Solanum lycopersicum: one gene and its partner. The protein of the gene in region 1 interacts with the protein of each later gene in a pairwise test. Links are inferred from orthologs where the notes say so. Each region holds a gene or a part of one and is shown in the gene's direction. Other genes may lie near its edges.

Evidence for each region. The genes of interacting proteins can lie anywhere in the genome.
Region 2: the proteins of protein BREVIS RADIX (region 1) and B3 domain-containing transcription factor NGA1-like interact in binary tests that used the Arabidopsis thaliana proteins (3 or more experiments, as listed by UniProt). The link is inferred for Solanum lycopersicum from reciprocal best matches to the Arabidopsis thaliana genes BRX and NGA1.

Annotation. Positions count from the first base shown.
Region 1 is NC_090807.1:62,148,247-62,152,671, reverse strand, and holds the start of protein BREVIS RADIX, read left to right. Parts: upstream 1-1,494; 5' UTR 1,495-1,802; intron 1,803-3,810; 5' UTR 3,811-3,846; coding exon 3,847-3,963; intron 3,964-4,425. UniProt on the Arabidopsis thaliana protein: Acts as a regulator of cell proliferation and elongation in the root and shoot. Regulates roots architecture and primary root protophloem differentiation.
Region 2 is NC_090807.1:68,078,361-68,082,655, forward strand, and holds the start of B3 domain-containing transcription factor NGA1-like, read left to right. Parts: upstream 1-1,456; 5' UTR 1,457-1,789; coding exon 1,790-2,885; coding exon of another isoform or gene 2,886-2,926; exon of another isoform or gene 2,927-3,077; intron 3,078-3,328; coding exon 3,329-3,393; 3' UTR 3,394-3,425; intron 3,426-4,295. UniProt on the Arabidopsis thaliana protein: Regulates lateral organ growth. Functionally redundant with NGA2, NGA3 and NGA4.

The DNA of each region.
Region 1 (4,425 bases):
ATTTTACCATACTATTCTTATTAATTAATGTTTAATAAAATTAAAAGATTATTTTTGCGATTGAATTATCGAACTTAGAGCCTGTTTGGCTCAGCTTAAAAGCTGGTTTTTGACTTATTTAGCTGTTTGACAATACTCAAAACAGCTTATTTTAAGTTAAAAAAAACTTATTTTAAGCCAAAAGTTAAAAGCTGGTGTTGGGGTGCTTTTTTTCCCAGCTTATAAGCTGTTTTAAGTTGACCACATTTTTACCTTTTTGCCCTTAATATTTTTATACAATCTCCAAATTATCCACGTAACCCTAACATCTCTTTCTTCTATTTTTCCCTTTTCACGTGTGGATAATAGACAATTACTATTACTAATGAATGAAAATAAAATAAACCTTAAATCTTTCAAGTGATCTATTCAAATTATATATTATTAAAATGTAAAATAAGTTGCACATATAACTTAAATAAAAATTTATATTCCTCTTATAAATAATTTGTGATAATAAAGAAATATGTGAATGATAGACAATTATTATTACCTATGGATGAAACTAAAATAAAATATTAAATCGTTCTTTAATCTATTCAAATTATACATCTTTAAAATCTATAATAAGTTTATATTCCTCTTATAAATAATTTGTGATAAGAAATAAATATGTGAATGATAGCAAAATATAATTATTTATGGCTATAAAATATAAATTAATTAACTTTTATTATGTTAACAACTTTTAAGGGTATTTAAGACATTTTGATTTAAAAAGCTGTTTATCAGCACTTATTTGCCAAACACATCAACAACTTTTTTTTTAACTTCAGCAATTTTATCCAAACGCACAACTGCTTATTTTAAAAATAAGTTTCAGCACTTTCAAAATTACTTTTTTAAAGCTACTTTTATTAAGCTCATTCAAACGGGCCCTTAATTTTGAATAAGTGACTGAGAAATCACTTCCAGTTCACTTTTACTTTTTCCTCTATTAAATAAATATGCTCAGAAAAGCAGTAAAATAAGTGGAATCAAGCATGTAATAAAAGTAATTCATTTTTAAAATTAACGTTTAAATTAAATCGGAATTAACAACACGAAAATAAATTACTTTTTTTTATGACAAAAATTAAAAGACAATGATTTGATTGTTCTTTGATCCAATAAAATTAATTTCCTAATTCCCCAAACCAAAATATTTATTAAAATTTTTTCGAGGTTGACCCACTCTTTAATAATACTTCTAATCAAATCAAACAACGCCACGTGTACAAACCTCGACATATGGGCCATCATGTCTTCCCCAATCAAGACCACATTTGATCCATTTGTCCAAATGACAAAACCCTTAATAAAGTCCAAACCCTTAAAGCACAATGTACAACCAAACAATGCATTGTACCCCCTTTATATCCATTATATAAATACACGGTTTCCGTTATATAATAACGACAGAATTTGACGGCGTCAGTTCCTCCTATAAATACCTCTGCAAATTTTCCAATGTTGTTTTCTCTTACTTTGTCTTCACTCTATTTTTGTGCTTTTTTCATTACATTTACATATATTCTCCATCTTCTTTGTTCTTTCTCCCTTCAATTTTTGTTTGTATTTGAAATTTTATCAAATTAAAAAATTGTCGCCGGAGACTCGCCGGCTCCGGTGAATATTTTTCTGGTGATTTGGTTATATATTTCTTCAAGATTTGCAAAAGGGTATCCAAAAATAGCAAAAAGGAAGAATTTTGTTGAAGACATTTTGAATATTTACTGAAGGATTTAAGCTCAGTTTCTGCAAATTTTGTTGTCCATTCCGAGGTATGAATACCCTTACAAAAAATTGCTTTTCGATTTGCTTATCTTACTTTTCATTTTAGTTTTTTTAAAAAAAATTCGACAACTCTTTATTTAATACGTACATCTTAACAGTGGCGTAGCCACATATAATGAAAAATGGTGAATTAAACACCCTACAACGGAGACTTATATTATATATATATATATATATATATATATATATATATATAAATTTATTTAAAAAATATATTAATTCTTGAATGCTTACCGTGAAACACATTTTACAAATCTTTAGAACTCGTTTGGAATGATTTTTCATTTTTAAGTTATAAGTAAAGAAAAAAGCTATAAGGTAAAATTATGATTTTGTCTGATTTTAGTTTAAAAACTAAATGTTTATAAGCATTTTTACTAACTTACACAGATGCTCTAACAATGTTTGAATCTATTACCTCGAAAACATATAAAATAAGTCAATACAAACAGGTTTTTAAGACTAAAACTATGAGATTTAAAAATATTTTTCAAATCTCATAAATATTATTTCGAGTCAAAATCAAATAAACAAATTAAAATCGACACATAAAACTAATTTTTTTTTTGTTTTGGAGGGTTGGGTCACTATCAAGAGTGTTTGTCTGTATGTAGAATCAGTGGCCGCTTTCAAAACTCGACAATGTCTATTAATTTATACAGCGATTTATCATTCATTCTATACTCTGCTCCTACTCCTATTTTTTTCCACTTTTTTTTTTTTACTTTTTTATTTTATTTTTAAAAAATATGTTATAATTCATTAATAATGATGAATTATCTGTCAGAAAATTCGGCTCTGGTCATTGATAATTTTTTTTAAAAAAATTAAGGTCTGTTTTTTCTTCTTCTTTCTTTTAATTATGAATTTTCTTTATTTATCTATACATTAAAGCAATGTTACAGAATGAGTTTTTTTTTTTCTCTCTTTAATATATTAACAAACACATACTCTTTTCCCTTTCTGTTTTAACTTCTTTTCTTTTTGTCTTTTGGTAGATAAATTACAACATTCATGTATTTATTTTTTCATTAACTTCATTTTTAAAAACAACTTCTTTTATCTATAAGATAAAGCTAAGATATACGTATATTTTATATCATACTTTGTAGGACTACATTCGGTATACGTTAGAGTTTTCTTCTAATATTTGAGTTATTTTTCATTTAGAGAATTCGATTAGGTCAAATGAACACTGTCCTCAAGTAACTGTTTGTGTGTGTATAAGTATATATATATATAGGTAACACAGATCCCGCTTTTTTTTTTTGTTTCAGTCAAAAATCTATTGAAAATAATCTTTTATGTATTTCCAAAGTGCGATGTATATTCAAATTTCTCTATTTTATGATATCATACTAAATTCGTTATTGTTGTCGTAGAATTAGTATTAAGATTGTCTGGTTTTTATGTGACTAAAAATTGTCAATGTTTTACATTATTTTCCAAGAAGAAAAACAAAAAAATGTATACTAAATTGTTTCTCTCACTTTTCATTTTAATTTTGTTTCAAACAAACTTTGCTTTTTATATTTAGTAAACTTTTTAAAATTCAACATCTCATCTAACATACATAAGTTAGATAATAAGATTCAAATTTGCAACTTCTGTTAAATTATGCTAAAATTATAATATTCAAAATTCTCTCTCACAAACGTAACGAAATATCCGTTTTTGTTATAAATATATGTTTAGTGAATTTTTTTTGGCATAATACATATATTGGATCCTAAATTTGGCTTCAAATTTTAACTTTGACATTCAACTTTCATAATGTACAAACAGACACTTTAACTATCCAACTTTTGAATAAATAAACTCATGAGTCCTACATGACACAATACATGTAGGACAAAAAATGACATGTGTGTATTTGTTCAACTTTATACATGTTTAAGTGTCTATTTGTGTACGCCCAAAGTTAAAAAAGACATAAATTTAAATGTATTATATCTTTTTTTTTTACTCTTAACTCATTTTAATTATTTTTTGTAGGAGAAAAGATATAGTAAGGGAGAGTGTAGGAGAAGGATGTTGACATGTATAACGTGTAAGCAAAAGATAGAAGATGATGGAGGTGAAGAAGGACCTCGTGGCCGTGCTCCTACTCCCCATACTAAAGATTCCATCAAAAGCCTCACAGCACAGGTACTATTTTTCTACTTTTGAAATTTCATTATAATAATCTATTTCGAATATCATATTTCATTATTATTATTAAGACGTTTGTAGTTTGAAGACGTGATTTCCAGCTCCGCGAGATAGTGATACAATTGGTATAAATTTTCCCTCTCTCAGATCCTACTTAGTGAGATTTTACTGAATATATTCCCGTTACTGATAGTAGTGAAGGCACGAGTGAGACTCTTCACTATTCAATCAAACCCTTCATTCGAGTTTTGACCCTCATTTGTATGGTTTAGAGAGGCTTATTTATCTTATAATTTCAGATGTTATTTCGATTTAATAATACCGTTTATTATATTGAATTTCATTGTAGTTAAATTTAAATATTTTTTTGTCAAAAATGTTTATAAACTTTTTTTTTTTCCTTCTTTGTTCAAAGCAAAGCTAACTCTTAGTACGAGACCTGTCGCTTTAGCCCCTATA
Region 2 (4,295 bases), about 5.9 Mb from region 1:
TGTTTTTATCATGTCCCGCACCGATTCGCATAAACCCACTCCACCTGCCTTACATAATTTCTAAAAATATTAAAATACTGAATACAGTTTGTTTTTACCTTAATAATTCTACTTTATCAATTGCTTCATATGTTTATGTAACTGCTAAAATTAATAGGCTAGTGTAGAACTATAATGCAATTTTATTATACTCTTTTAAATATGTCAGTAACTTTTTTTTTTTTGATAATTTTGAATTGATTACATAAAATACTGAATGCTAGTAACTTTATTTTTCTTTCTAGTTTTTGGCCATTCAAAACGGTTTTTTCATAAACTCTTTTGTTCATCATATGCAGTGCCCAAAAGGTGCAAAACTGGTATGAAATGTGTGAATTTATGAATTTAAAATATTCATTTTCAAACCCCAAACCCGCCCCGCCCCACTTGAATTTTAAAAAAATCTATCTAAACCAATCTCGCCTTGCCCCGTCCGCTCCACACCCACAAAAGCTTTGACCTGCCCCACTCCACTCCTGTCTCACCGCATTGCCATCCCTAGTACTTAAGTGGCACTTTCATCAACGTTTTAACCTTAGACAAGGTATTTATGGGCCGATTTGAGTTTTTGTCGTTGATCAAAATTTTAAATAAAATTAATTTAATTATATATATTATTTATCAATTACTAATGTTACACGAAAATAAAATACAAAGTGGAATAATAGAAAAAAACAAATTATTTTGCAAATATAGGATAACAAAGCAACCCATCAACCACCAGTTATGACCTTGAAAACCCGGAAGACTTTTATCCCTTTCATGAAAGGATGATCAAATTCGACTTGAAATGGAGTTTAAGAAACGAAATCAAAATTTGTAATTTTGTGGTTCTAAATTAAAGTTATATATCAAAATTTTATTTTAATCTTGTGATCTTAAACATGTTACATGGAAAGTTAAAATTAAAATATTGCTTTTGTTATATATTTTTTTTGTTTTTCGGCTTAGATTCTAATTGACCTTTTGTTGGACTTTTTTCTTTTAATTTTTTTCACTTTCATAAATATCTATAAGATATTCAAATTATTCATAAAACTTAATATATTATGTATATTTAATAAAGATATGTATATTCTTTTGTTTTGTTTAACTCATTAAGATATTATTGAATTATTTTTTGAATCAAAACCAAATAAAGTGAATTATTTAATCATTCCGATTTAGTTTATTGGATCGAATTTTACCCTCACAGTGAATCTCTACGGTATGTGTGAGTTTTGTAGGTTTACTTGATCCCTTATTATTAATTAAAATTAATAAAAAAGAAGTAAAAGTAAGGTTAAGATAGTTAGAGAGAAGGAGTTCAGTTATATTGTTTAATAGGAGTTAAAGAAACTTTAATTGAGACGATGACAAGGACGAGCTCACATGAACCCAACCAGATAATTTGTGGGCCCCGACCCAACGAGCGAATGAACTCGGAAGAAAGTCTAAAAGAGAATAACTAGGATGAAATTTACCTAACTTAAAAAAAAAAAAGAAGATTCCACCCACTTAGACAAATTACCCACGTACCTTGTCTCTTTCCCTCTCCCTCTCACACACAGACACAAAGAAGAGAGAAGAAAGAGGCGGCTTTTGAATCTGACTACTCCGGAATGGGTGATAATTAATGAGAGTCATCACGGAACGACGACAAAAACAAAAAAAATAATTATATATTTTTTTTCTTTCAACCCTAGCCAGTCACACTAATAACTACGCTTTTTGGGTCCTATCTGATTAGATCTATGCTGGGTCCTAAATCATGAATTTCTTCTCAGATGGACGTGGCTTCAACGATCAAGGCCCATTTTCTCATCCTGATTTCTCCCATCAGCAAAGAAGCACCACTAATAGTAGTGATATGGCAGATGAAGTGGGTGAAAGTAACACGATTGAACGAGAACACATGTTCGACAAGGTAGTCACTCCCAGTGACGTCGGCAAGCTCAATCGGTTAGTCATCCCCAAACAGCACGCAGAAAAGTATTTTCCTCTGGATTCCTCTACCAACGAGAAAGGCCTCCTTCTCAATTTCGAAGACACGAACGGAAAGCCTTGGCGCTTCAGGTATTCCTATTGGAATAGCAGTCAAAGCTATGTAATGACCAAAGGTTGGAGCCGCTTCGTCAAGGAGAAGAAGCTCGATGCTGGGGATATTGTCTCATTTCAGCGTGGAGTCGGTGAATTGGGCAAGGATCGTCTCTTCATCGACTGGAAGCGCCGTCCAAACGCCCCCGATCATCTCCACTTCATGACTAATCATCATCTCCATAATAACTTGTACCGCTCTAATATTCAGTACCCAGCTGCTGCTTGGGATCGTCCTCTCTTTTTGCAGCCTCCTGACCAATCACATTTACAATATTCCCTGGAACCTGCACCTGGCAGCATGTCTCAGCAACAACAATCTCACGGATCCAGTCCTAATTATTACTATGACACTTGTAATTTCATCAACAGCCGTACAACCGTGGTAAATGGAAACCCTTGTCCGAGCGGATCAGTAGTTTATCTCAGATCGGGGTCAGCCCAAGTTCCACAGCAGGCTGGGTTAATGCAATTAAGAGGTCACAGTAATAGTAGTACTAGTGGCAGGGTTGTGGAGCCAGTGGTGTTCGACTCCGTACCAGTTGTTCAAGGCAAGGCAGCAGCAAAGCGATTCAGGTTGTTCGGTGTGAATATGGACTGTCCCATCTCAGACTCATGTGAAATCACGTCCTCATCTTCTTCCTTGCCTAATCCCGCAGCTACAACAACTTATTCTCATGTCCCCCAATTTTCATCATTATCATTCAGGACTTTTAACGACTATGATACCAACCGGCCGGCAGCCACCGAAGAAGAATCATTTGACAAAGGCAAGGCATCCATGTCCTTGAATTTGGATTTGGACATTTGATGTGTAAATTGAAGAGAATTAACCTAAGTGGTGGACTGGTACGGGCCATCCCGCACAAAGAAATCCCGTCCTTGAGTGTCCAAGTTAAATTTGTGTAATAATACGATTTTGAAATATTTTGCAAATACTAGTAAAATATCAGGTTATTTTATGTTTGATTTTTCAACAAGAGGAAGAATACTACATATATTTTCTATATACTTATATTCATAAAAAAAAAAATATATTTCCTTATCTCTCTCGATCTAACAAACTTTGCTGTATTGATTTCCTAGCAGTGGGAATGCATAGCTAGCTCCTCACTCAGGCTAATGAATGATGGGATCCGAAGGGAATTATCAAAAGTCGTGCTTTCTTTTTCATCATTCATTCATGAATTTTTGTTTTTATTACCTTTGGTAGGTTCTTGTTCTTGTCGCTGCTTCACTGGGCACGCCCCCCAGGTACTGCGGTTGCTTCAGATCTAGCTAGCTAGCTAGCTAGCTAGCTTTTATAAAAGGTACGTACATAACATTTCATCTTGACTAACTTGGCCATCTATCATCAACTGATCATACGAGCTACCAGCTACTTCTACTAATATCTATGTATAGTTAATATCTTCATTCACTAGTCACTAGTCGTCATTCATATATATTATTCTTTTTTAAAATCTTAGTAACTTTTTCCTGTATGCCTTTTCTATTCTAAAAAAAAAAAAGAAGAAGAAAAGAGCTAACATATCAACAACAATAACATGCCCAATAGAATCTCACTAGTTGGGTTGGAGAGAGTAGAATGTACACGGATTTTATCACTACGTCATGGTGATATATAAACTGTTTTCAAAAGAACCTAGCTTAAGCAATTCCAAAAACAAAAACAAAAAATAAACATATCAAGTCACAAAAAATAAAAACAATCAAATTTTACTGTGGCAAAAGCAAAATAACATAATAATTGAAGCACCATACACAACATATTAAAATAGAGTAATGGAAACAATAATAAATACTGATGGTTATAAAAAAACGAGTACTAGTAATAGTACGATGACAAACACCGACTACTCTACGTACGACAACACTACACTACCTACTATAACCTTCTACTCTGATACATGCCCGTTACACCCTCTTATCTAAAGTTATGTCCTCAATAATCTTGGGCTGAGTCATATCGTGTCATTCATCTTTTCTCTAATACTTTTTCAGTCTATCTCTGCCTCTCCTTGTACCCTCTAACCAACCTCTTGCACCCCATCCCCTCATCTCCTCTTCACATAATCTAACCATCTCAATCTTGCCTCTCTCATTTTGTCCACCACGGAGGCCATTCCCACCTTATTCTGAATATTTTCATTTCTAATCTTATCGCTCCTAGTATGACC